Linked DNA regions of Drosophila melanogaster. The protein of the gene in region 1 interacts with the protein of each later gene in a pairwise test. Each region holds a gene or a part of one and is shown in the gene's direction. Other genes may lie near its edges. The genes, in order: mRpS26, CG34296, Pis and CG13840.

Evidence for each region.
Region 2: the proteins of mRpS26 (region 1) and CG34296 interact in a two-hybrid assay, tested with the Drosophila melanogaster proteins (one large-scale study listed by BioGRID).
Region 3: the proteins of mRpS26 (region 1) and Pis interact in a two-hybrid assay, tested with the Drosophila melanogaster proteins (one large-scale study listed by BioGRID).
Region 4: the proteins of mRpS26 (region 1) and CG13840 interact in a two-hybrid assay, tested with the Drosophila melanogaster proteins (one large-scale study listed by BioGRID).

Annotation. Positions count from the first base shown.
Region 1 is NT_037436.4:18,104,136-18,108,629, forward strand, and holds mRpS26 (mitochondrial ribosomal protein S26), read left to right. Parts: upstream 1-2,443; 5' UTR 2,444-2,526; coding exon 2,527-2,735; intron 2,736-2,831; coding exon 2,832-3,300; 3' UTR 3,301-3,364; downstream 3,365-4,494. Other genes in the region: Polr3D (RNA polymerase III subunit D), read right to left, coding at 3,827-4,392, 4,445-4,494.
Region 2 is NT_033777.3:29,720,115-29,723,922, forward strand, and holds CG34296 (uncharacterized protein), read left to right. Parts: upstream 1-2,423; 5' UTR 2,424-2,444; coding exon 2,445-2,493; intron 2,494-2,549; coding exon 2,550-2,776; 3' UTR 2,777-2,899; downstream 2,900-3,808. Other genes in the region: CG15506 (uncharacterized protein), read left to right, coding at 1,043-1,318, 1,529-2,131; Pcd (pterin-4a-carbinolamine dehydratase), read left to right, coding at 3,115-3,242, 3,324-3,474, 3,733-3,808.
Region 3 is NC_004354.4:15,700,081-15,705,928, reverse strand, and holds Pis (phosphatidylinositol synthase), read left to right. Parts: upstream 1-2,158; 5' UTR 2,159-2,307; coding exon 2,308-2,359; intron 2,360-2,610; coding exon 2,611-2,745; intron 2,746-2,841; coding exon of another isoform or gene 2,842-2,900; exon of another isoform or gene 2,901-3,116; intron 3,117-3,266; coding exon 3,267-3,420; intron 3,421-3,513; coding exon 3,514-3,665; intron 3,666-3,743; coding exon 3,744-3,925; 3' UTR 3,926-4,478; downstream 4,479-5,848. Other genes in the region: Hap40 (Huntingtin-associated protein 40 kDa), read right to left, coding at 478-1,336, 1,523-1,701; CG9240 (uncharacterized protein), read left to right, coding at 4,842-4,940, 5,122-5,523. UniProt on the Drosophila melanogaster protein: Catalyzes the biosynthesis of phosphatidylinositol (PtdIns) as well as PtdIns:inositol exchange reaction. May thus act to reduce an excessive cellular PtdIns content.
Region 4 is NT_033777.3:22,813,518-22,818,733, reverse strand, and holds CG13840 (uncharacterized protein), read left to right. Parts: upstream 1-2,555; 5' UTR 2,556-2,696; coding exon 2,697-4,097; 3' UTR 4,098-4,251; downstream 4,252-5,216.

The DNA of each region.
Region 1 (4,494 bases):
TTCTTAGTTTTTTAGAATTCAGAAAAGGGTTTTTTTATTACTAATTTGCTAGTTATTGTTCTACTGGTTACATGGAGTTATACTCTTAAACATTATTAAAATTTGAAAAGATTTCATGCGTTGCATATATTTGATTACTTTGAAACAAATTTTTTTGCGCTAGTCTTTATAAGTTTTTTTTTTTTTTTGAATTTCACGTTTCGCTTTTGTTTTCCTCTTAATTAAGTGCAAAGCCGCACTGCGACAGTTTGTGACAAATTTGTTGTTGTTTTTTCTCTTCAACTTGCCTTTCAACTTGCAACACGGGCAAGAAGGAGAACTGTAATTTGGTTTAATTGCCTCACAACATTTGCTAATTAGGTTTTACAGTTGGGGGGAACTCTTATCAGAATTTGCGAATGTTCTCCAAGCGCGGAAAAAGTTTGCATATTTAAGTTGAAGTCAGCGCCCATTCCCCAGATTTCCCCCTTTTAGCCAACACCTGCTGAGCTGCCGTGACTGAAAGTCATTTAAACTGTTTTACTTGCTGATGTTGTTGCTGCTGCTGGCATAATTATTTTCCTACACATTTTTGTGTTTAGATTTTCAAAGACCTCAGGTTGGAGATGGGCAAATAAATTAGCAAGCAGATTTTGCACTTGCTCAGGCGTTCAAGGCAAGACTTTTGACTTCTGCGTCGCGTGGTGCAGTGCCCCGAAGTTGCAACTCTTTTTCGGAATTTTTAATGAGCGTTGTTGATAAGCCAAACGAGGTTATGTTGGTGGGAAAATAAGTTGTGTAGCGGGAATTTACTGGCTTAAATAAGTTAAGCTCACAATTTGATAGGTAATTTCAAACTATCACAGAAGCTAACCTAAATAGTTGGGAATATTAAGTATTTATATTGAAATAAAGGGAATTAGATTAGTACATTGTCGTTATCATCCAACAACTTTGCATTCTTTCTGTATTAATCTTGTTTAAATCACGTTTTTAGATATAAAATCTTATCTTAAATGCTGGAGAATGTGAAAGTAAACAGATTGAAAAAGTTGCATAAGATAAACATTCCAACGATTAGAGAGCAGTAAACTTTTAATCGTACAGTTAAGGTACACTAATTAAATTATAAGAAAAGAAGATGTGGCATTTTAAGGCACTAAGTTTTAAAAAGGAAAGTCTACATTACCCATTTTAGTTATTTAATTAAAAGAGAACAATAGAACCCCTGTTTCGTGCAGTTCAAGCAATTGAACAAATTCGATATGCAAAATTGATCGCCTTATAAGAATTTCCAGCTACGAAGCGATCCAATTCGATTCGATTCGATTCTGTGCGTGGTAAGCGGTTGGGATACATGAGACACACATATGAGACAATATTTACAGTCCAACCAGTGCGAATTGCCATTCCAATCAGAGGTAAACAAAAATCAAAAGCCAATGTGAAAAAAAATGCCAACAAACCTGTACGAGTTGTTCGCTGCCGCTGCGCTGCTGAAGCTCTGCTCCCGCCGACGTCTGCGTCGAGAACTTCGGCTTTAAAGCTCTCAGATGGAGTTTTTGTTGTTGTTCTTGCTGCTGCTGCCTTTTTGCATGTGCAAATCGAAAGAGAGCGAGAGAGAGAGGGAGCTATGGAGCTGTGGAGCCCACCAATACTCGGGCTTTTTGGACAGGTAAGCGAAACACGTCGCAAAGAGCAGATGAATAAGAAGAAGACGCAGTAATGAATGATCGTCGCTTTAACTTTTCGCTTGCATCGGTATGCGTGTGTGCATTTCTGGGAGTTAACTTTTAACACTTTTAGCCTTGGCAAGAGATATATACAATATGCACTTTCCACACTGCTTCTAACTGACTTAGCTTTTCAATAACGCACACTATTTTTTTAAACACGAACACACACACACTTTCAAGGCGCGCCGGCTGCGCAAGCCACTTTTGTTTTAAGTTAGCCCACGTACAAGAGGCGAAACAGCGAAGTTCCGTAGCTCGGATTTTAATGCGGCCAGCGCGGCGATATATCGTCGACTGAGTGAGCAGTTACTTTTCGTACCTTCCCGTCAAGTTCACCTGGCCAAAAGCTTTTAAGCCCGAGCTGAGCGCAGCGCAATTGTGAGAAACGCACTAGTGCGTTGGAAGTTTGGCTATTTTCACAACAGATCTGTCTGGACTTCAAAGCTTGTATCTTTGGACAAATAAAAAACATTCATAACCTGCGCAATTTAATTGCAAAAACTTGTTAGCAACGCAAAATTAAGCTGTACCTAAAAATATATCTATGTAGCTGAGTATATAATTATATTTTAATATGAATATGTACGACAATAAATTTAGTAAGTTGACAACCAAATTACTATTGCCTTTCTATCTGAATTTGATTTGTTAAGATTGATTTATTCCTTGATTCTTCGATTTTCCATATTGGTCATCACTGACGGAACCAGCAATCGAACTGCGCGGAACCAGTTCACCGACAACAGAGTTGCACAACAGTTCAGCAGCGGCAAAGTAAAAATTACATTTTGTTAATTAAACTGCTTTTATAATGCTGCGAGCGGGATGCCAGCTGCTGACGCAGTCCACCCTGCCCACCGGGAAGACGGTCGGAAATAGTTTCGCCCTCGAGTTCGTCCGCTGGCGCAGGAAACCGCGATGGCTGCCGGTGGCCAAGAGCAAGATGTTCCGCGTGCCTGAACGCAAGAAGCAGTCGGAGGAGGAGCGCACGGAGCTCATGAGGCTACACAACCAGTACAAGTGCGTGCACCAGCGCCAGATTCTGTCTCTGGTCAAAGATAATTTGTAATCGGTTTCAAAAGACGTTATACAAAACAATCTACGCCTTGATTTCAGAACGCAGCTTCGCTCAGTGCGTCAGTTTCTAAGGGAGGAAGTCGTCCGCCACGAGGAAACATCCACAGCAGATCACATCGTGCTCACTCCCGAGCAGGAGGAGGCCGAGTTCCAGAAATGCCTGGATGCCAATGCTGCCTGGAACGCTGCCATAGCCAAGGAGCGTGATCAGCGATTGGCCAAGAAGCGTGAGGAAAAGGTGGCCTATATTCAGGAGCGATTGGAGGCACAACAGCTGCGCGAGGAGGAGCGCAAGGAGCAGGCCAACCAGCGGGTGCTGCTCGAGATTGAGCGTTCCAAGAACTATATCACTAGGGAAAACTTGGATGCAGCCATTGAGACAGCGTTGGCCAATCCCGTGGACCACAATTTCGCCATCGATATGGCCGGTAATCTTTACCACGGACGAAGCACCTCTCAGCTCCCGGACGCCACTCCCGAACCCAACCAGCAAGTTTTGAGTAATTAATTAATGCAGTGTCTTAGTTTGTTGTTACATTAAAATGCTTTTTATAGGTTTCTAACCAAAGTTGAAAGTCCGTGTTTTTTTTTATTTTTCTGCACAATAAACAACACACTTAAGTATATTTGATTTGCGCAAAAGAATAGGAATTGGATAACCTAGCTATTGTAAAGCGATTTGCTAGAACTAGAATACTTTTCAAATTTTAAGACCGTATTTGAAATTATAATAATCACTTAATTTGAACATATAATATATCAACAATCCATTAACCTAAAAATTAATCTTGGGTCATTGCATTAAGTATTGATGGCTTAATTTACGTTACATATCCCCAAGTTCCAAGCCCATCTTTCTTGGAGTCTCTTTTATGTTCCATATTCGAGTACAATTGTTAATAACCTTTTGAAAAGCATTTGTATTATAAAAATTTCTATATTTAACTTTTATATACGGCATTTAGAATAGGAATAACTTAAGCTTAGGCGCAGCCTATTTACTATATTACATATCTACCATGGGGAAGTGGGTGCTACGTGCCCGGTACTGGATTCGTTCGCTTGGATGCCGCATCCTGCTGCTGGAAAAGGTGCACCCAATCTGGAGTGGCCTTTAGTTTGGCTTGAATGGGTCCCAAGTTGATCATGTTTCCACTACGTTGCTCGCGATTGGCGGTTACAGACATGAGTTCCTGCAGAAAACCCGGATCGAGACCCATATCCAAGTCAAAGCGTGTGTCCCCCAATTGGAGTTTAACGCGACCGGATTTGTACCTCAGAATCTTGCCGATCTGCCCTTCTTCCAGCTGCCGTAGTACACTGCCCTTGGGTCCGTTTGAGCATTTGTCTGCAGGACTTGCTGGTTCCGATTCACTGGTGGCCTGATGATCTCCTTTAGACGGTTCCGGATCTTCGGAATCGTCGCCCACACATGGCAACACATCTGGCAGTTGCATGAGAAAGATCTGCGCTTCGCTGGAGTCCAGAAAGTTACCAATGGTGCGTGGGTAGCGACCGTACTGCAGCGGAGGTTCCTCTAAACTGGCTGCCTGGGCAGCCACATGCAGCTGTTGCAAATGCTGGGCCACTGCCAAAGTGTCTAGGAGCGAAATCAAATTAGATTATGCCATTTTTAAAGCTTAGCGCCTTACCCTTAAGTGTTGAGGTTGAACTGGCGATTTCTTGCTTCGCAATCGGTGTC
Region 2 (3,808 bases), on another chromosome or scaffold:
CTCCCTCGAAGCGAGTGAAAAGATCACGGCCATTGGGAGTGGGAGTGGGTGAGATGTGGAGGAAAGTCAAAGTGAAATGCTTGGAAAGCAAACCAAATTGCCAGTCAGTCACTTAGTCAGTCAGTCAGTCTCTTGGACCACAAACTCACAAACAACAATAGCAATAGGCGATCCAAGGAGGAGGGCGGCCCAGCCACACCCGACTTGGATGTCTGGGTAATCCAATAGCGGCAATTAGAGTGCCGCCCCCGGGGATCCGGAGATCGGGGGATCGAGATCAGAAACGCGGTCACAGTTCCGCAGATCGCCCCAGTGCATTTCCATGCTCCAGTACCAGCTGCAGTGCCATTACCATCAAACCTCCTCCATGGGCAACTCGTCTAACCGGACCTAGACTCCATCTCTCCGAGGAAATGCCTTTGCCATAGCTCCACTTGAACCCATGCACTGGCAAAAGAATTGGTTCTCAATAGAAGATGGAATGTAGAAATGAAGTATGCCTTAACCTTTTCAAGTGAACGATGTACACGTTCTGAATAGACTTTTTTCGCTCAGTGTAAGAGGTAGCAGCGCCGTCCGGTTCGATCGGCTACTCCGTAATCCAATTAAAGGAACAATCTACATTTCAATTCAAAACTAATGAAGTGTAGAGAATTCGCAACAAAGGCTGACATGTGTTGATTGTTTCGACGACTGCAGTGCTGGTATTTGAAAGTCGTGGGTTTCTTCTGACTCCATATAGTCCATACAGACACGTAATACCTGGCTTTTTAAAGCCATTACTAACAAGCTTCCCTGTAGAGCACCCAGAGTTCCAGCTGCACAACTTCCGTCCAGCACAAGCACACATTGTGCGTAGTCCAAACAATTCATTGATTGATTGTCGATATGGCGATCAATTAGACAGATTATGGTTTTCATTGATCGCCATCCAGCAGCAGTAGTGACAAACCCAGGGACAGCTGTCAATGGTCACTTGTATCTACTTCTATATGCACAATATATAAACGCCGACTTCGATTTCGATTTCTATTCTCGGCAGCACACCATTTTGATTCTCCTACTGCTACTGGGACTTGTTCTGTGGACCGATTCCTCGCTGGCCGCCCGTCGCCTGAGGAAGAAGCCCAAGGTCTACAACGCTCTCATCACCACCGACGACAACCTGACCTCCAGCCGCGCCTATCCGGTCATCCAGCCCACCATTCACGAGCCGGGCTACGCCCCCTTTGGACCCTACAATCCCTACGGATTCTACAGTCCGCCGATTGTGAGATTCGGCCAACCGATTGTCCCGGGATTGACGCCAAATGAGAGGGTGAGCTTATGGGTTTCATTAAGTTGCTAACACTGATAAACTTAGCGAAATATTTCGCAAGATTAAATTACTGCTAGCTATAATAAGACAATGATTAATTTAATAATAGGTATCATAAAAAGCTCACTCTAGAAATCTCTGACTAGAGCAATGAACCGCACTCAAAAAAGAAATATAGTAGTTTAAACTATTGAAACCTTAATATTACAGCTCCCTTACCCTCTGCCATCTGCCGCCCAGTATCCCGCTGGCTATGCTCCATATGAACCCCAACAACCGGTGGAGGCGCCAGTGGAGCAGCAGCCGCAGTCGGCGTCGCCACCCGGAACCGTGGAGCGCCAGGAGATGCCCAAGGAGCAGATGCCAGTGCCGTTGAATCAGCAGGGATTGCCGCCCGTGCTGATACCACTGCCCTCCCAGTTCAGAGGCCAACCCATGCACCTGCCACCGTATCCTTACAGCCAGTATCCAGTGATCTATGACCAAGCGGGCTTCATAAGGCAGAACTACTTGCCGCCGTACGACTACTATCCCAGCCAGGGTTATCCCCTGCGGGCAGCCACTTTGCCGCGCGCGGAGCAGGAACAGCCACTGAATCCCGTCCAGAGTCCACCTTCGCCACAGCCACTTCCCCTGGAGAATCTGGAGCCGGCGCAGCCCAGTTTCGAGGACATTCGCAACGGTTCGGAGAGCAAAAACAGCGCGGTGCCGGATGTTCCACCTCCGCCAATACCCTCCGGACCCAAGCGTCCACGGCCCGCGGAACCGGAACCGGAACCGGAAGCGGAACGCAAACCGGAAACGGACAACTGATTGCGGGCTGACCAAAATTCCACACACGTATTTATTACCATTTCGCTTAGGCATAATATCGATTCGATTGTACAATGTCGCCTTAACCCGTAAGCTAAAGTAAGAGTTCATTCAGAGATAACGAATAAAAAACATAAAATCGCACTGGCGGTGATTGAACTTGGATGGATGTTCCCCAGTTCCCCAGGGAAACCAGGGGACGATTTCGCTTTCGTCGGGGAATTGGGAGCCGTTTATCTCAGCTCTGATGGGACTATAAAGGCAGTCGAGTTGCCGGGAAAAGTTACAGTTAACATCGAAAGGGGAACTCAGAATGAAGCTGGCCCTGCTCCTGATCCTCTGCTGTTGCCTCATCGGAATGGGTGAGCTACAACTTTGGTCTTTGGATACCCAATGAATAACAATATCCAATATGCAGCGATTGGTGACTCGGTTTTGGTGACCAAGCCGCCGTTCATTCGCAGTCGCTATAGCTTGCGTTGGAGGAAGACAACCACTGTGGCGCCTGAAGTGGTCACTGGATCCAGTGGATCAACCGTTAACACGGTCACCACCACCGACCATCCCAAGCTGGCCACTTCCACCGCCAGTTCGGATTACGACTATTACGGAAATGGGGAGACGGAGAATGTGGTGCACAAGTAATAGTCATATTCCAGCCATATGACTATATATTAACACTTGATATAATCAGAGCGACTTTAATGTCATAACAATGTAAGAGAAGGCCATTTAATAAATAAACTGTATGTCAAATCTCTAGAAATCAATAAGAAATCCAATAAGAAATCTAAATTCAAATTACGCGGCATTAGACTTTATAACAGTTATGTTGCTAGCAGACGTTGTCAAAACAAGTTGGCAGTTTTTACAGCTCCATGTTAACTCAATGTTAGCTAACATACGACACAAGTCAGCTGTTCCGCGCCGACAGCAACAGCAACAAAAACAGCAGCTAAGAACAAACGAGTTTTGGATCGAAAATGTTGTTAACAATTAAATGCGCTCAGAATGTGATTAAGCCGAACTGCCAGAAAGTGGCCAATCTGCTTGCCAGCAGCCGCAGAGCTGGTTTATTCCCCACAACTGCAACAACAGCAACGAGTAGAAGGTATTCAAAAGGTGGAATGTGCGGAAGGGGAGGGAGGGGCAAAAATACCAAACTTAAATCTGAGCTTTATTTTTCGCGCAGCCTGTCGCAAATCTCAGTTCTGTATTCGCCAGCAGCGAGAGAAGCAGCACGGGCAGCAACTGGTGGCAGTGCGAATCTCCGGAGAATCCACAACACCCCAACCACAGAAGCAACAGCAACCGCAATCACAGCGAAAAAGCGCAAAATGGTGGTAAGTACGAGCCGAAAGTGAGTTTGAGATCAAGGTGAACGGAGTCTCAGCGAAATCGAGTGGTTCCCTTATCGCCTCCAACTGAAATCAATCGACCACCCAAGGACAGGTTTGGACTTTCGGAAAGTGCTTTATGCCCTAACAAATAGAATCACTGTGATTTTGGCCAGAAATGGAGGTTTTTCGCTCACAAATTATTTTGTATATATATCGTATGAATCAATAACACTCACATACTTGTTGCTCGCTGCCCTTTAGGTACGACTAAACGAACAGGAACGCGCCGAGAAGCTGCAGCCCCTCCTGGACGCCGGCTGGACTTTGGTGGAGGGGC
Region 3 (5,848 bases), on another chromosome or scaffold:
TTCGGAATATCAGTTGTGGCACCCGAAGAGTGTCGCATTAATTAGCTAACTTAATTGAGAAATTGCTAAGAAACAAAAAACAGAAGTTGCTTGACAAAGGTAAAATAAACAAATTAAATGACCAAAATATTGCATTACTATTAATAGGGGGCTTCATAGAACATCTGTTGGATTGATTAGAAACAAGTTGGTGGTTTGTTAGTCATCTTTATCTTCGCACTATCATGCGCATTCCTCTTCATTTATTGTACAAATCACAAATCCTATTACATTTCATTGCGCTTCGCACCTTCTGTTTATTGCTGCATTCACCTGGTCATTCGTTTGTTAATTTAATTCAATTTTTATGCGTGTAGGCACGTTCAAAGGTTAGTTGGTAGACTTGGTTACACTTAAGCGATAGTTGCATGTGTCATTCTCATTCAGTGGTAATGATCCAGTAGTAAATAATGTACAGTACGATCTTAGGTCTAAAATCTAGTAGCTTCGGGCCAGTTCTGCATGCATCACCGCCAGCAGCTGCCTTTCCATGTCGCTCAGCGATCCAAATTCGGCTCCAAAGTCGCGCAGCAGGTGCTTTAGATCGCACATTTTACGCTCCACCCAGGCGCACGTAATCTCCGCCAGCGCATACTGCTGCTGTTCGGGCACAAATGCTCCCGGACGCTCCGCGGATCCACCGTCGTCCGCCGAACAGGGGAGCGACTCGAACTGCGCCAGGTTGTAGTAGTACTCGATCAGCTTGATGTGGGCGGGTGACTGGCGTGCGGGAGGCAGGTTCAAATGGACTAGGAGCAGCAGACGCAGCACCTCAACGCGCCGCAATAGTTCACCGTACATGCGAGCACCGCGTCGCTCGTAAACATTGTCCACAATGTCGTCGTAATGCTGCAGTGCACTGCGAAAATCGCCGCGCTGGCCACTCGTTTCGGCGCTGATTTCCAGGTCATGGATCTGATGGGTGGGCGAGGCAAAGCTGCTGGTGCTGTCCAGCTGCCGCTGCAGCTGCTTCAACTCGCGCAGAATGGCCGCCTTGAAGACGCAACCGTCCACCGCTCGATCCGCCGCACGGTGATAGCAGTGCACCGCTCCCTCCCGAAATCCCGAGTGGCGGGTGCGCAGATGCAGTCGCCCGGACTCGTTGTGCGCCGCTAGGAAGGATCTAGCTGCCCGCAGATAGGCCTCCGATTCGCGCTGCGGTGCGCCGCCGTAGGACTCGCACTTGGCATAGCCAATGTGGCACATGGCCGCATACTGCTGTATGCCCGACTCCTCGAAGCTGTAGGCCAGTCGCTGGAAGTCCGCCTGCACATCGACCACGCTGGGCGCAAAGCGTCTGGGAATTAGAGAAACAGTGGAGTATTGAGATTGTATTCCGTGATTCGAGGGCTTCTAATACACCCGTATTTCTAAACATAGTTTGAAGATGGAGGAAAAGCGATAAATTGGGCAATGACTTGCTAATCAAACGCAATGATCTGCAAGGTATCTGATTGCCCATACTTGGGCCGTAGCTACTCACTTGAAGAAGCCGGCCCGCTCGAACTTCTTGATCTTGCTGGAGGCCCTTAGATATTGCTCGATCAGGTTTTTGGGGTACTGATACTGCTCCAGTTGGTGGTGCTCATGGCCCGGAGCCGTCGATGGCGCGCCGCTGGAGGATCCGCCGCCGCCCAGACTGCCGCCGCGGAGTTTATCCATGCTACAGCATGTGGTTCTCCGCGCAGGTTACTTCGGGTCGCGCTACTTGTGCATTATATTTTCGCCTGTATTGTGTTTTTATTATTATTTGTGAAAACTTTATCGCGGGCGGTGTGACCATGCCATGTCCCGCTGAGGAATATACTAGCTTAGAAGCGGTATGCAAAGATCCATTTACACTGCTCAACGGCAGCGAAAATGTATCAAAACGGCACGCAAATCGCTGTCAAAACTCATTTAACAAGCAACTACACTAGTTGCCCGGTTTTGGTAGCTCATGTTAATAATCTAGTGACCTTTAATTTGTATTTGATACATTTAAAATGATATACTAATTACTAAATTTCTATTGGAAGAGAAAAATAGAAACTAGAAACAGATGTGTGTCAGTGGAAACCATCTGAAATCTTGTTGGCCAGTATAGTTCGGTATTTTCTCTCAAGTCTTTGTTTGTTTTTTCCAAAGGTCACGCTGCGGTCACACCAGATACAGCAAATTCTGTTTCCACTGTTTTTTCTGCAGCACTTTTGGCATTTAATTGGATAAAAACAAGCCGCAAAGCTAGAAGATCGCAAAATAAACGAAAAACCAAAGTGGCGAAACAAAATGACAATTGCCGAGCACGATAACGTCTTCATCTTTGTGCCAAATCTGATCGGTGAGTGGCTGTTTGTAGGTTTTATTCCGTGCTCCAGCTAGGTAAACAAATCGCATGTTCGATTTATGCGGCGCAATAATAGCGATTCTAGTGTTCCCTAATTGGATTAATAGGGGCTGTTTGGCAGCTAGTGCAATGCGAAGCGCAAGTTCAGCGATAAGAGCCGCTTCGTCCAACCCAATTGAGTCACCTCCAATGATTCTATACGTATGATGCACGCATATGTGCTGATTTATATTGATCTTTTCCAGGCTACGCCCGCATCGTTCTGGCCCTGATCGCCTTCTGGTTCATGTCCACCAACTATGTGATCTCCGGCTGGTGTTATGTAACCTCCGCCCTCCTGGACGCCGTCGATGGACAAGCAGCCCGAGCCTTTAACCAAAGTAAGCATTAACCATGCGATCGCCCTTGATATCGAAATGCCAGCTCATGCCAGCTATATGTCTGTATTTGATTTGTGCGCGCACTTTGGCCGCTAGCGCATTGCAAACACCTGTCTCCTCCGTACTGGTTATCTGCCGATATTGTGGAATTGTAGGCACGCCCTAAAGAGCCCGATATGGTCACGGCTATCCAGCCAATCGATGGATGACGTGGGGCTGAAGAATAGATAGAAAGCATGGCTAATATTGCCTTGGAACTATGCAATGTAGTTAGCAATATAGGAGGAAAAACATTAGGATAGAAGCCTTCTAAGAAACAAATTGCAGATACCATGCAATGTTTATGATATAGTAGTGTAGCAAACTGAAAGGTATGATCTTGCACTTGGATTTGTTGTATGCTAGCAGGATGATTTAGAGTCTTAACGAAAGGGTACTCCAACCAAAATATGTATATCAAAATATTAGTAATTATCATATGGTACTATGGAATCTTTACTAAATACTCGATTACCTCACAGGCACTCGCTTTGGCGCCATGCTAGACCAGTTGACCGATCGCTGCGGCACCACCGGCCTACTGGTCACCCTGGCCTACTTCTATCCCCGGTACATGTTCTGGTTCCAGCTGTCCATCGCCATCGACGTGGCCTGTCACTGGCTCTTCATGCAGACGTAAGTGGGGCAGGGGAAAGAGCAAGATGCTGGACGTCTGGACTGTCAAGGAATGGAAGGAAACTAATGACTCGTGGCTTTGTCTTTTTGCAGGAGCGTTGTGGTCGGACGCAGCTCGCACAAGGTGAATGACAACTTCATAATGCGATTGTATTACCAGAAGGACATACTCACATTCATGTGCTGCGTCAATGAGCTGTTTTACGTGTGCTTGTACCTCTTGCATTTCACCTACGGCCCGCTGAGTGAGTATACGCACACGCACATGCTTTGCATTTCAGCTGGCGAAACGTATCTAATCCGTTGATGGACTTCAATTGCAGTATTCGGCGCATCGCTCTTCAAGATACTCGCCTTCCTCACGGGTCCCTTTGCCGTGCTCAAGGCCCTGATCTCGGTGATGCACGCCTACGTGGCGGGCATCGATCTGGCGGCCGTGGATGTACGCGAGCGGCAGGAGCGGCGCCAGAAGTCGGAGCCGGTGAGCGGCAAGAAAGTGGAGTGAAAATGGGATGCGATCCGGGATCAATCTTCCAGCGACAGTTCTATCAACAGAAAGTACTAAATGAAACAACTCTTGATTCCAAGCTAAAAAAACAGAATTTTGAAGACGAATTGCGATCAGATGAAATATGGGCATTAGGCAACCAAATAGGCCGTAGTAGGAATTTAATTTATTTTTAATGCGCTATTGCAATGATTGTTGATTTTATTTGATATATTTTAGTTAGACGGGTGGTGAAATCACCCGACAATTTGTATTTAATAGATTTTTGAATTGAAATTTAAGCGATTCGTTCCAGTCAGTAGCTGTTGCATATTTATTTTGCCTTTAGTTAGCGTAGTTTACACGCTATATATGTATATATATGCCAATGCGTAAATGCAGGCCGATATACTATGAATGAGTGTCTATTTCCAGGATTTATCTCACTGTGCACGTTTTGGGTTTGACTAACCACCTTGTCCCAGCAACTCTCTCAATGTAACTAATGTATTTCTAATCGTAAGTTAAAGAATGTAATTGGAGACCTGCATGAAATATATACGACAAATGGATGTTAGATGTATTTGAAACATTAACATATATGTACCATACATGCCAGGCCTGGCAGACTTAGTCAAAATTGAAAAGTGAAAATAAATATATGTGGTTCTATGCGCTAAATTTTAGTTTAACCTTTTGGGCCATCGATTTTTGAAATTTGCGCCACACAAAATTTATCGTTAGACATCAAAATTATCGTTGGCACATCCCTGGCTGGCCGCTCAGCTGCGCCGCCTGTGCAGCCCTGATTTTTACACAACATAAACATTCGATTTTGGAGGAGCTCTTTTTTCGAGAGAATACCAGGTCGTTGGACACGGGAGATGCTCTGATTAGGGGCGCATGTGGAGCAGCCAACGCCGGAATCGCCGACATGAAAATCCTCTCCCGTCTGGGTCGCCTGATGCGCTACACGGTGGCCTACGCGGCAATCACACACTGCACCTTCGAGTACATTGGCGATTTCGTCCTGGTAAGGCGTCTAGGATGAAGTTCCTGGGCGGGTATACTTGCCCAACATGTGCCAGCATCACATAGTTCGTGTGAATGCATTAAGGTACTCTCCACTTGTTTTTCCACCTTGTGTAACTTCCACTTGATATCCTTCTTTTGCGGAAAAGTACGTACACTCACATTAATGCAACCATTTCCAGTGCAAAGGACCCTCCATGGAGCCCACCCTGCACTCGGACAACGTTCTTCTCACCGAGCGCTTGTCGAAACACTGGCGAACCTACCAGCCCGGCGACATAGTCATCGCCATATCGCCCATCAAAGCCGATCAGTTCATTTGCAAGCGTATCGTGGCCGTTTCCGGTGATCAGGTGCTAATCCAGAAGCCCATTCCCATTGAGGCGGAGTTTAGTGGTAATTCGGATGACAAGAAGAAGCCCGTGATGGTCAAGGACTATGTGCCGCGCGGACACGTTTGGATTGAGGGTGACAACAAGGGAAACAGCTCGGATTCCCGCTACTACGGACCCATTCCGGTGGGCCTCATCCGGAGCCGCGTGCTCTGCCGCATCTGGCCGATATCCGAGGCCACGGGTCTATAGATGGCATTCGTACAACAAAGAGTTTAAAATCAACTTGACCCAATAAATGGCCTATGTTTCGTTTGGAAATTATAGTACATCAAACCACAACTTTTTAGAATCATTACGTATGCGAGTTTCGTCTCATTTGTGCGACTTCTGGTTTTTGCATATCATTGAAAATAAGTTGAAAAAAACAGGAGAGAATAATAATTTCTTTTCATTTTTGTTTTTAATAAACATATTTTTCAAAGTATGAAGCTTACATCCTTAATCCTTATTGGCTTACCTTCTAAGGAAGTATTTACCATGTTTGGGCGTCATATTCAAAATAATGCCATATTTT
Region 4 (5,216 bases), on another chromosome or scaffold:
TAAAAAATGCAATAACGAAAAAGGGTAAAAAAAAAATGCGCATTTCAAATTATAAATTCAAATTCGAAGAATTTAATCACGTATACGAATTTTTCCTGTGCCACAATACGAAATAATAAAAGTGCCTCAAAAACTTTGAGCCCCTGCCCCGCGAAACCAGGACCGCAAATTGTTTAAAACAAGCATTGAACAAAAAACTCAAGAAGCAACACAAACAGGCGGCTCAATTCCAGGAATAAAGCCGAAGGACATTGAATAAACTGTACGGTGAGGAGGTATGAGTGGGATGTGGGGACGGTAGGGCAATGGGGGACGACACTTGGCATTAGGGCCCAAACTATACAGCCAAGGCCAAGTTTTGGGCCAAATCTTTGTGGGGAGTGGACCAACAAACGAGGACGGAACGACCATCGGCATCGACGGCCGAAAGGCAATGGAACCGTAAATTCTATTGCATGACTTGATTAAATTCGCATGCAACGATGACCGTCGACCCCGAGTCACCCACAACATCGGAGTCCGCCGTATCCGCCGAAGCCTCTGAGTCCCCCATTAAAAAAAAAAAAACCCACCTCCGAGCGGGTCAAGCAAAGGCCAGCGACGTTGCCAACTATGCCATAGCTGGAATTTCTTGGCTATTTGCTGGCTGCCTTGGCTTCTGTTTTTGCTGGCTGCTGGATTTTTGCCTTTCCTTCGACCGTTTTCTCATTTTAACGTTTTAACGTGACTTAATGAAGTTTCAGTGTCACAGCAAAATCTGCTCCTGCTGCTCCTGCTGCTCCTCTCCGCCTGTTAATTTTATGATGGATTTTATGCAGAGCGCGCCAAAGAAAACTTTGAACTTTAATAAGTATGTGTATGCAGGCATTTAACTTTGCCATCGTTTTGTCGATTTTTTCTACTCACTTTTTTTTATTTTCTGTTCTTTTTTTTTTTAGTAGATTTTTTTCTTTACACATTTTGGCCATGTTAAGCTGGGTGGCTAGCTGGCTGGCTTCTTTTCTATGGGAACTTTGCTAAAATATGCTTCACAGGGCTTGAAAGCATTTGAAGTAATGAAAAAGAAGCGAAAAAAATTGCATCCAACAAGTATAACACACACACTCTCGTTCCAGGTGATATGGATGGGGAGGTTTAACTGTACAGTGAAGCTGCGCAAAATTTAACGAAGCTTAACCTCATTCAATGTGAAAATACACTTTACTTGTACTTTGCGCTGTTATTTCAAAAGTGCGGTGACGGTGGGCGTTGCTGCTAACGCCGCTCTAAGGGGGCGTGGCTAAGGTGGGTCTATATATATACAAATATATATATATATATGTATATAGAGAAAGGTGGCGATGCGAACCTGGTGAACTTTGCAAACTTAAATGCAGAGCAGAATGATGAATGATCCAAGGATGCCAGGCTAGCAACGAAAAGAACTCGCTCTATCTCCGTTTTTCGCCGACTTTCCCTTGATTTCCCGCCAGAGGCAACTACTCGCAGAGAAAATCACAAATATAAGATTAAAATCGGAAAATAACACTACAATACTTTAAACGAACTACGAATGGCAGAAAACACAAAAATGGTAACTAAGGTATAATATATCTATGTATCACATATTAAATGTATCTTCAATTCTACAAACCTGAATATAGAAATATTATAATCTTATATCAACTATTTTGCTGAGTGCACTATAAAATCGCTGAGAATGCTATTCCCGCAAAGGTTCTTTAAAATTGAATCACTTTAGACCCAAAGTGCATTGTCAGCTTTGAGTGAGTGAAGGCGTGGCTGGTAAATTATGCAAGAGCAACGATACCAAATGTCGTCGAATGCATCCAGATGAAAATTGAAAGTGCTGCAATCCGAGATCTCAGACGCGTTTCAAATCTCCGGCGATTGCACTTGGCAAAGACCGGACCGCAAGCACATGAAGCGCACGTCACCATTTGTGCAATCAAACATCGGAATGGCCGCGACATTGACCGCAAGCTGCCACACAGTGTGAAATCCGATGCGGCTGGGAGCCAACCGGTGCACAGTGGTTACAGCTATGTTGAAAATTATCAAATATTATGCTAGCTTAAAAAGGAAGCAATATTTATGCACTCAAAACAAAACTTACTTAATTTAATAACTTCATTTTTACCATTTTTATCACATCCACAATAGATTTTCTTTTTTAATTTTTGAGCCCTATTAGACCACAGTGCATAGGTCGATGTGCATTGCGGGCTAGCAATTGCGGTATAGCTGCGTATTTTGTGATTGCGAATTGTGCGGACAGCGGATCGCCGCCTCACTTGCATCTGAAAGGAACAACCAGAAAGGGACTATCTGGAACAGTTGGTGTGTGCCGCCGAGTGAAAGTGAGTGCCTGGGCATGGGCTTCCACTTACACAATCCATGGTGGATTGGCCAATGAACTTGAAGTGCCAACGAGGATATCCAATTACAAGTAGAGCGCTCCAAGCATTTGAAGAGTGTGTGTGTGCTATAAAAACAGCATCGCGATGTCACAAATTTGCATTTCAAAGCGGAGCAACACCCACGCCAGCTGCATCCAAACACGCACTCCGTTGGCGGATTGGAACAAAGGATATAGGACACAGGAGTTCAGGATTTCAGGACACACACAACCACCCAACGTTATGGGGCGGCCAAAATCCGGCCAAGGCTTTGGGTCACCTGCCACCAGTTCATTAATGATCTATGCATTAATGTGGCTCGCTTTGGCCATGACAATGGAGGCCATAGATGCCCCACTGCCCCTATCCCTGGCGGAGTACCCGCTCGGCCTGTCGCTGGAACATGGCAGCAAACACCATTACCAGGATGCGGGTGTGGACTCGTTGCCGGGATTAACAGGATATACGCGAAATTATTATGGCCCCACTGACACTGCAGCCGGCGATGACTTGGCAACATATGGAAATTATGCTCACAAACTCCTGGCCGCCACCCATCAACAGCACCATCGCCATTCGCAATCCTCCCTTGGCACCACGGCCAATGGCTTTGTGCCCTTCTACTACAACAGCAAACTGCACTCGCCATTCACCGCGGATGAGGAGCCGCGTCGCGACCCATCCGCCAATATCGATTTTGTCATTAATACGGCAAATTATGAGCCAAATTCCGCTGGCTACGATGTGGAGCCACATCATGGGGAGCAGCACTACGAAAGCTATGCATATCGGCCGCGGGTGCAGTTTGCCACATCGCTACCCGGTCCCAGCGATTACCATTTCGAACAAATTTCCAATTACCGGGAGAATCGCCAGCGGGAGCAGGAGGTGGAGCAACATCAGCAGCAGCAGCACCAGGAGCAGGAGGATATTACTAGTATCTATGCGCGGCTCAAAGAACTCCAGACACCGGCCAATCCAGTTAAGCGTCAGCAGGAAGAGTCCCTATCGAGTCATCATCCAAACCGGGAGCAAAGCCAGCCACTGGAGCAGCGACATTATCAGCAACCTGAAAGCAGACAGCTGCAACAGCCACACTTGCAACAACATCTGCAACAAAAGCGGCCACATGCGCTGCAATATCCTCAGGATCAACGGCATCACCAGCGCCTGGGAGTTGCCCAGGACCAGCAGATGTTGTACTCTCACAAGGATAGCCAGATTGCAGATCTCCCAGCCATAACCACCAGTGTGCACCATACTCCGGAGAGCAGTAAAGCGGTAGCCGGATTGCCGTTGGCCAAGCACATCGAGATCACTAAGAGTGTGCCCATCACCCACTATCAGAAGCAGCATGTGCCCTTCAAGCAGAACGTCCAGGTGCAAGTGCCACGAACCGTGATCGCAGCCATACCCAAGCCCATGCCCATCAAAATACCAGTGGCCCAAACGGTGGCCGTGCCCCAGATGCAAGAGGTTAAGATTCCCATCGAACGGGTGAAGCCGGTGCCCGTGGAGCGGCCCATTCCCTTTGTGGTTGAGCGCAGGGTACCCTACCGAGTGGAGAAGCCGGTGGTCTCGCCAGTTTATTATCCGTATCCGGTCAAAGTGCCAGTGGTGCGCACGGTGGTGCACAAGCAGCGCCCCCACTACGTGGCACCCGGCTGGAGTGCCAACGGCAATCATCTGCTGGGATGAGTCTATCTTAAGAATAAATTCTTAAGCCAGTTTTATACCCTTGCAAAAGGGGTTTTTTGATTTGTAAAGTAAAAGTACAAACTGTAGGGTAGTCGATAAATATATTTTTGGTGGAATGTTCTTAAGTTGAATTAAATACATTTATTAATTTTTCATGTTATGCAGTTTGATTAACGGCTAGAGTATTTCAAATTCAGCTTATGCCTTAATTTCTAGTGACTGAACCCCAAAAAGTAATTGCAATTAGCAAAACAAGAAGACAAAAAAGGCCACCGACAGCAACTGCAGTGTGGCTGCAAAAGCATCCAGCATGCAACTCCTTGATCCCAAATCCAAGTTTCTAACTCCCAGTTAACAGCTACCAAACAAAACAACACATTCGGAGTCGAAGTTGAAGTTGGAGTCACAGGGCAGGTCCCAAACCGAAATGAAGAAAAGTAGCCGAGTAAAACTTTTTAATTGAGCTAAAATCCAACAAATGCGGCTAATAAATATGTATTGAAGTGCGATGGGCAGAACGAGGCTGAAGTCCGGTTGCAATGCAAAAGGGGGCTGCAGCGAAAGTGCAAGAAAATGCAGCGGCTAATTGCCAAATGTAACTCCAGTTGAAACAACTTTTAACTGAAACAGCAGAAGGAGCAACAATGACGCACAAATAAACGCGACGTTCAACTTCGCCGAGGCGTTAACGAAACAGCAACAAAATTAGCCAAAAAGTAAAGTTCCAGCAAGGGTCGCGAAAAGTCGGGCCAGTAGTTTCTGGTTGGGGAAAGTGCTGCAAGTTATTGCCGGCTAATGAAATTAGCCCTAATTGACGTGGGAGCCATTCGACTCCATTTTTAGGGAGGCGAAGTGAGGAAGAACTCCGCACCCACCACACACAATATATGTAATATTCGGCAGCAAAGGAGAATTTAAGGAAAATGTTTGGGGAAAAATGAGTTCAAAGATTTGGGGTTTAAAGCGCTTTGACTACTTACTTAATACTCATTACTCAGCCACCTAGCGGTAGACCAACAAACCTAAGCTTACTGAGTCCTTCTTTTTCTTGGGAAAATTAAACGTTGGAAAATAGTTGCATTACTTTTCTAGCTGTGTACTAAATTTTGTAAATTCAAT